Regions from separate parts of the Mus musculus genome. Here region 2 is reported to be linked to region 1. The links are microRNA targets in miRTarBase. Many come from high-throughput screens and were not tested one by one. Region 1 holds a microRNA gene; the other region holds the end of a gene's coding sequence.

What was found. Region 1 holds the annotated microRNA mmu-miR-3074-5p (GUUCCUGCUGAACUGAGCCAGU, at 1,337-1,358, shown strand). A microRNA usually pairs through its seed, bases 2 to 8, with sites in the 3' UTR of a target mRNA and lowers its output. Matches are read on the target gene's strand: a 7mer-m8 pairs with bases 2 to 8, a 7mer-A1 pairs with bases 2 to 7 and ends in A, and an 8mer does both.
Region 2: miRTarBase lists Cnga3 as a target of mmu-miR-3074-5p. Seed matches in the 3' UTR shown: 7mer-m8 at 2,860-2,866 and 7mer-m8 at 2,843-2,849.

What each region holds. Positions count from the first base shown.
Region 1 is chr8:84,206,063-84,210,230 of GRCm38, reverse strand. Mir3074-2 (microRNA 3074-2) reads left to right here and starts at 1,324; the gene lies at 1,324-1,406. Mir23a (microRNA 23a) reads right to left here and starts at 1,713; the gene lies at 1,639-1,713. It overlaps Mir27a (microRNA 27a), which reads right to left and starts at 1,559; the gene lies at 1,473-1,559. Mir24-2 (microRNA 24-2) reads right to left here and starts at 1,416; the gene lies at 1,310-1,416.
Region 2 is chr1:37,261,915-37,265,498 of GRCm38, reverse strand. It overlaps Cnga3 (cyclic nucleotide gated channel alpha 3), which reads right to left. Exons shown (of 6, transcript NM_009918.2): 6 at 2,115-3,584. The coding sequence ends at 3,403. Among named protein-coding and RNA genes, the nearest start is that of Inpp4a, 36 kb to the left of the region's middle.

The DNA.
Region 1 (4,168 bases):
GTGCGTGTGTGTGTGTGTGTGTGTGTGTGTGTGTGTGTGTGTAGACGGGCGCGCGCGCGTGCGTGTGTGTGTGCATGCGCGCGTGTCTGTCTGTGCTCGCATATGTGCCCGTCCTTAAGCCCTGTGTGTGTGTGTGTGTGTGTGTGTGTGCATGCGCGCGTGTCTGTCTGTGCGCGCATATGTGCCCGTCCTTAAGCCCTGGCATCTTGCCAGTCAGTGCATCCCAGCATAGGCAGAGTACATTCTTGTAACATACTCCCTCATGGAACTGGGGTGACCACAGATTGGTCTCATACACCCCAGGTCTGGGTTATCCCTCCCGTTCAAGCCATCCCCAAAGGATCCCAGGATCTTCAGGTCGCAGCACCTACTGACCACAGAACTATATTTACACCTTCCTAGAAGCAGGTGGAGCAAGGTTGGGGATAGGTGCAATGCAGGTTAGGAGCCCAGGGTGTGGTAGATATAGTGGTGCAGCTGGTATTCCCAAACTCCAGACACTGGAGGAGTTTGATTCAAGGTCAGCCTGGTCTACACAGAAATGCTGTTTCAAGAGAAATGAAAAAAGCCAGCAACACACATGTGGGAGGCGGGAATGAAGAGACGTCAGCCCTTACGGAATGAGGCTGTGGAGCTTTTATTTAGTTGGAGAACAACATTCAATACAAGCTTTCAACTCTGTTCTTCCACCCAGGCTTCGATTTGCCCCTGCCCAGAGTAGGGAGAGGACACTGTATGGTCTGGGAAGTGTAACTCAGCCAGTTCCAATTAGTCTGCATGCAGTCTCATTTGTGGGTAGTAGGCAACTTTTTAACTTCCAAGCCTGGAGATTACTTCAACAGGCCAATGGGGGGGGGGGGCATGGATCTGTTCATATCCTGAGGCCTGTGTGGACCTCGCTCCCTGCCTCGCTGTCACCAGCAGAAAGCTGCAGACCCCATGGGATTGCTAGGCACACTGGATCAGGTCAGTGCCTTCTTCCGGAAGCAGAGAGTTGGCATTTAACCGTTAGAGGGCCTAAAGCAGCTTCCTCTTGGGTAACTGACTTCAAAGATGGTATGTATAAGGGGTGGTGCCTGAGCCCCACCAGACTTAGGAAAAGAAGGGCTTCCAGGCCCTGAGGGGACATAACTGGCTTTTAATGCAAGGGTTACCCGCCCATCTATCTGCTTTGGGGAACCACAGAAATCTCAAGGTGGACACCCAGATGCAGGCTTAGAGGCTGAGCCTCCAGCAGACAACGGGGCTTAGGTTGGACTAATTACCCCATTGTTTCCAGGTCTTGCTCACGGCAGACATTCTGCAGGGTTGCCAGCTCCTAGGGGGCTGGACTCCTGTTCCTGCTGAACTGAGCCAGTGCACTGGAATCAACTGTTTCAGCTCAGTAGGCACGGGAGGCGGAGCCCGGAGAGAGGCAGAGCCCTGCCAGCCAGGAGGCAGAGCAGGGTGGGCAGCAGCGGCCTGAGGAGATGGGGTCCAGGGGGCGGAACTTAGCCACTGTGAACACGACTTTGCTGTGGACCTTGCTCACAAGCAGCTAAGCCCTGCTCCTCAGGCCAGTTGTCATGATAGGCTTCTCTGTTACCCAGTACCCAAGACAGACATCCTTGGCGACAGGAGCCCCCAAGGCAGAGCACAGGGTCAGTTGGAAATCCCTGGCAATGTGATTTGTGACTGGCATCAAATCCCATCCCCAGGAACCCCAGCCGTCCGAGGCACAGTGAGGGGGGCAGCAGGTGGGAGCGGAGTGTAGCACCTAAAGAGAGAAAGAAGAGACAGTGAGATTGGAGCATTCTTGCTTGCCTGCCTATCTTGACCAGGCTGGGTCTCACATAGCTGAACACAAGGTTTCCGAATGCACCAGTTCTTCCTGCCTCTACCTCTGGAGTCTAGGATTATAGGTACACCTCACCACACACAGTTTAAGTGGTGCTGGGGACAGAATCTAAACTCAGCTTGCTGATCCACACCCTAGCCCTCCTCTACTTCCAAGAGGGAAGAAGCATTCCCAAAAAAGAGGAGCATCGATCCGTAGGAAGGTTGGAGCGAGGCTGCTGGATGCTGGGCACCCAGCAGTGCCTCTACCCCAGCCCTACAAAGCGGGAGGTGCCTGAAGCCCTAAGGCCAAAGGGGCTGCAGAGCCTTCCCAGCTGCTTCCCACTCTGCTTCTATCCCCACCCACAGCCCTGAGCCCAAAGCAGGCCAAATGGGGCCATGGAGAGGAAGCTGAGGGAGGTGGACGGTTGGAGGGAGGAAGTGACCTCACCCCAGCTGGCGCCACTTCCTAGAAGCCTGAAGGGCAGGAGGAAACTCCAGGGCCTCCCACCTCAGCCCTCTCCTCCCCAGCCAGCTCAGACATAACCCCACCCCCACCCCACACCACCTAGGGCCCAAGCAAGGAGAAGCAGGCCGATGCACCCCAACAATAACACCTCAGTAAAGTTTCCCCTAGGCCTTCCAAGCCTCAGTTTCCCCATCTGTAAAGCAGACTACAACAGTTGCAGTTGGTGGCTCACGTTTATCTCAGCATTGAGGAAACTGAGGCAGGAAGGTTGCCAAGAATGGAGTCAAAAGCCTGCTTAAGCTACATGATGAGTTTTAGGCCTAACTGGGCTACAGTTTGAGACCCTAGTCTTAAATAGAAGAAAAACAAAAATAAAACAACAAAACCCCAAACCTTCTACTAGGAAGGCCAGTGAAAACTTACAGAGAAGGTATTTAGCACCCAGTACCAGGGCAAGCCACAAAATTTGGGGCCTACCCAATGTAGAGTAGTGTCCTGCGTGCCAGTTAAAGTTTTCAGGGGCCAGCAAGCTGATCCAGCAAGTGAGCAGAGCTGCTATGGAGCCCAATGCCCTGAGCTCAAACCCAAGAACCACGAAGAAGAAAAGCATACGGACCCTTGCAAGTTGTCCTCTGATCTCTGCACTTGGGAACACACACACACAATTTTTAAAAATTGTTTAAAGAATTTCAATGTTGGAGAGATGACAGGTTTCTTTCCCAGAACCTACATGACAAGCACAGCTATCTATAGCTCCATTCCCAAGAGCTCCAACGCTCCCCACTGGCCCCTGTGGGTACCAGGCATACATATGGTGCACAGACGTACGCGTAAGCAAACATTCACAAACAGACAATAAAAATAAACTTAAGAATGGTGGTGCACACTGTTAGTCCCAGCACTTGAAAGGCAAAGGAAAGCAAGAACCAGGCCTTGGACAGTACTATCTCTAAGAGTTCAAGGCCAGCTTGGTCTGTGTAGGGAGTTTCAGACCATCCAGGGCTACATAGTGACACAAGTGACCTTGTTTCAGATAAAGAGCTGACTCAGTGGTTAAGAGTGGCTACTGCTCTTGCAGAGGGCCCGAGTTTGGATCTCAGCACCTGTCACAACTACCTGTAACTCCAGCTTCTGGGGATTTCACTCCCTCTTCTGGTCTCTGAGTGTACTGCACTGTCATGCACAAAGACCAGACAACACACACACACACACACACACACACACACACACACACACACACACGTCTTCTTTATAAAACATCAGGGTCGGGCTGGTGAGATGGCTCAGTTGGTAAGAGCACCCGACTGCTCTTCCGAAGGTCCGGAGTTCAAATCCCAGCAACCACATGGTGGCTCAAAACCATCTGTAACGAGATCTGACTCCCTCTTCTGGAGTGTCTGAAGACAGCTACAGTGTACTTACATATAATAAATAAATAAATCTTAAAAAAAAAAAAAAAAACATCAGGGTCTTCAGTGATAGGTCAATCAATAAAGTGGTCACCATGTAAGCAAAAGGGCTTGTGTTGTCCCCAGGTATGGCAATTCACACTTGTAATTCCAGAGCTGGGGAAGGGAAGCCACAAGATGCTCTAGGGCTCACCACCAGCCCGCCTCACCAGCTCCATGTCCCAGTAAGACACCTTCTCTGAGAAAACAAGGTTGGAGCTAGAGAGATGGCTCAGTGGTTAAGAGCATTTGTTGCTCTTTCAGAGGACCTGGGTTGAGTTCCCTGCACCTACACAGTGGCTCACAACCATCTGTAACTCCAGTTACAGGAGATTCTATGTCTCCCACCTTTTAGGACATCAGACACACACAATCCTGAGAAACTACACTTGACATTGCACTCTGTACACACACACACACACACACACACACACAC
Region 2 (3,584 bases), not on the chromosome of region 1:
ACCCTGAGAGGTGTGAGTTCTAGTTGCGGGGCGACTCCTCCGAACACTTTTCTTTGTGTAACTCCAGGGCTGGGGTAGACAGCTCCTTTATGCACTTACCATCCTGAATAATGTCCACGTCTATTTCTGCTGATCTGTCTGTCCATGTAGTCACTCCCTCTGATACATGCTCTCTGGTAGAACATATTGTAGGTCATATATTTGTCCTTTGCCCTTGCATTCTGATAGCTCCTCTTTGTTGCTTTTAGGATCAAGGTCACAGTAAGCATTGGCTCATGTCTCTGTGTACCCAGGACATTGTCTCTTCTGCTTCTGACTGTGTACGTGTCTTCCCAGAAGCATACATCCCCAGTTCATCATTGCCTGATCTTTCTAGGGAAGCCATTGTTTGAGGAATGCACCCTGGGGCTGAATCTTCCCTTAAGACAAGAGCTGAAGCAGGAGACATTAGCACATTTTAATCCAGGTCTTTATCTTTCCCATATAAATATAGGTGCAGGCATAATTGATAGCTAAGGCTATTAAAATGTATTCATTGTCATAAATATTCAATGTTAGAGAATACATAGCACTGCAGATTACATTCTGCTGGTCATATGAAATTGAATCTATGCTCTTTAATAGACCTGGACCTTCTAACCATTTAAAAGCATTAAGCATCAGATGCCCCCACAAGAAATGGTCATGTGACCCACAAGAAGAGACCCAACTGCATAATTGAACATAGAGGTTGTTTTTTTTTTTTGTATGAAGTACATTAGGATTCAATTATAGATTATGGCATCTACCCATTGAGACTTCAATATTGTCCAGGAAAGGGTTGGGAGAAATTTGTTTCGTAGAAAGAAAGGAGGAGACGGAGGAGGAAGAGAGAAGGAAGGAAAGAGAAAAAGGAGCAAAGATGGGAAGGAAGAAGAACTTCCAGCCTGCATTTAAGTGAAGGATGGAACACCTAAGTCCTTGTTCACAGTCTCAGAACCCAAGGGCAAAAATGTGAATGGAGTTCTGGTTGCTAGCTTAAAAAAAAAAAAAAGTTCTTGCAATATGCAAGCTTTCAGCTAGCTAAGAGCCTGAGGATGCAGTTCCATTGGGGGCTTGAAGCTTTTTCAGGGTAAAGGTGCAGGTTACAAGGCCATTAGCCATGAGACTCAGCTTTTAAGTTTCACTTTTCAGCTTTAAAAAATATGTATTTTATGTGCATGGATGTTTTGCCTGCATGGATGTCTGTGTATGATGTGTGTATCTAGGGCCTAAGGAAGCCAGATGAGGGCACTGGATACCCAGGAACTGGAGTTACAGATGGTTGTTAGCCACCATTAGGGTGCTGAGAATCAACCCCAGCCCCTCTGGAAGAGCAGCCAGTGCTCTTAACCACTGAGTCATCTCTCCAGCCTTAGTTGTCTGCTCTTAAAACTTGGACCACTACCCCAGCTTTCCACCTAACAGTCTCTACTTACACATGGTTCTCTACTTAGAGCTAGAATGGGTGGTAACAGGTGACTCCAGCAGAACCAGGCTACTCTTGTAGTGACAGGTGGGGCTGGCATCCACTTTAGATTCCTCGGAGAAATCTCACCATGCGATGCCCTTTTCAGAGACTGCCCAAACCCAGGGCTTGCCGGTTTCTAGGAGTTCCCCGATTTCTGTATCATTGGCAGCCAGAAGTTCTTACTCTAAGGAGGGAGGCTGTCTTTGAATCCACTGAGAAATGAGAAGAGATGAGACATGCTGTCCCATCAAGTGGCCAGATGTCACAGTGGCTGGATAGCAGGGAATCTAGATTAGTTTCCCTGACTTGAAGGGATCTCCATTTTACAATGCTGTGATACTACAAAGTCAACATTTTCAGGGGCCCAGGATGCACCCATATGGGAAAATGCCAGGCTCAGAAACGTGCCCAAACTGTCCTGTATAAAGTTGAACTTAAGTTATAAGTTTGTGTTTATAGCTGCTTCCTGCTGTGTTTTGTGGTTTTGCTGGATGTTTTTGTTGTTGTTGTTGTTGTTTGGATTGAACCCAGAGCCACTGGCACACTGGGGAGCACTGACTTACATCCTCTTTGTGTCTTCACAATCAGATGGTGATGACGTGGGAATAAGGAAGGAGACTAAATATCCATTTATATATATCTTTAATTGTATTTATTATTTAATGTATGAGTGCTCTTTTGCACATATATCCACCTGCCCGAAGAGGGCATCAGATCCCCCTATAGATGGTTGTGAGCCACCTTGTGGTTGCTGGGAATTGAACTCATGACCTCTGGAAGAGCAGCTAGTGCTCTTAACCACTGAGTTATCTCACCAGCCCCGTAAGACATCCATTTATAACATAGCTAGGATAAGGGGCTTAAACATTCCCATGGATTTCATTAAAACAAAACAAAACAAAACAAAACAAAACAAAACAAAACTTATCTGGGTTGGAAACAGTGGAGTGTGCCTGTGGTCCCAGCTACTTGGAAGGCTGGCGAGGGGACAACACTTGGGCATGGGAGTTGAAGGCTGGACTGGGTAACAGAGCAGGACCTTCACCTCAATAAATATGGGAAGGACTACACGTTTGGATTTGTGCTGGTCGGATTTTTATGTCAACTTGACACAAGTTAGAGTCATCTGAGAGGATGACTGAGAAAATGCCTCCCTAAGATCCAGCTGTAGGCAAGTCCGTGGAGCATTTCCTTAACTAATGATAGATGAAGGAGGGCCTAGCCCATTGCAAGTAGGACTACTCCCGGGCTGGTGGTTCTGGGTTCTATAAGAAAGCAGGCTTAGCAAGCTAAGAAGAGCAAACCAGTAAGCAGCTCCCCTTTATGGCCTCTGCATCAGCTCCTGCCTCCAGCTTCCTGCCCAGTTTGAGTTCCTGCCCTGACTTCCTTCAATGATGGACTATGATGTGGAGTGTAAGCCGAAAAAAAAACCTTTTCTTCCTAACTTGCATTGGTTATGATATTTCATCACAGCAATAGTAACCCTAATGAAGACAGGATCCCAGCACCCATGCTGGGTAGCTTACAACAGCAGGTAACTCCAGCCCAGGGGATGCAACGCCCTCTCCTGACCTCCGCCGACAACTGAACATACCCATATGCCAACATAACTAACAACATTAGAATCATGTGCACATATGCTTATACACTGGGTTGGGAACTCTTCACGCTTTCCAAAGCCACAACCTTCGCCACCTCATGATAGTCTGGAACTTCTGGGGCCGACAGCCATGAGTCCCATTTCATAGGAGAGGAAACTAAGGCTCTTCCTTGCTGTCACACCACTCCCAAAGGATGAGTAGCACTGAGGCGAAACCACAGCCAAACCCTTTACCCCGAGGCTATATAGTGTCGCCCAGAGAGCTGGCCCCGGGGGGGGGGGGGGGGAGCAGGAGGCAGAGCCACCTGCATTTTCAGTCAGTCTTTGAAGCATCCTCGGAATTCTCCCTGTCAGGTGAGAAGCCACAACACCTCCTGTTCATCTGGCTCTCCAGCCGAGTGAGCCGCTGTTTCAGCTTCATCTGGGAGGCACTGTACTCAGCCAGGAGTCGGGCAAACCTCGTCTGCAGGATGTCCAGGGACGACTCCAGGTACT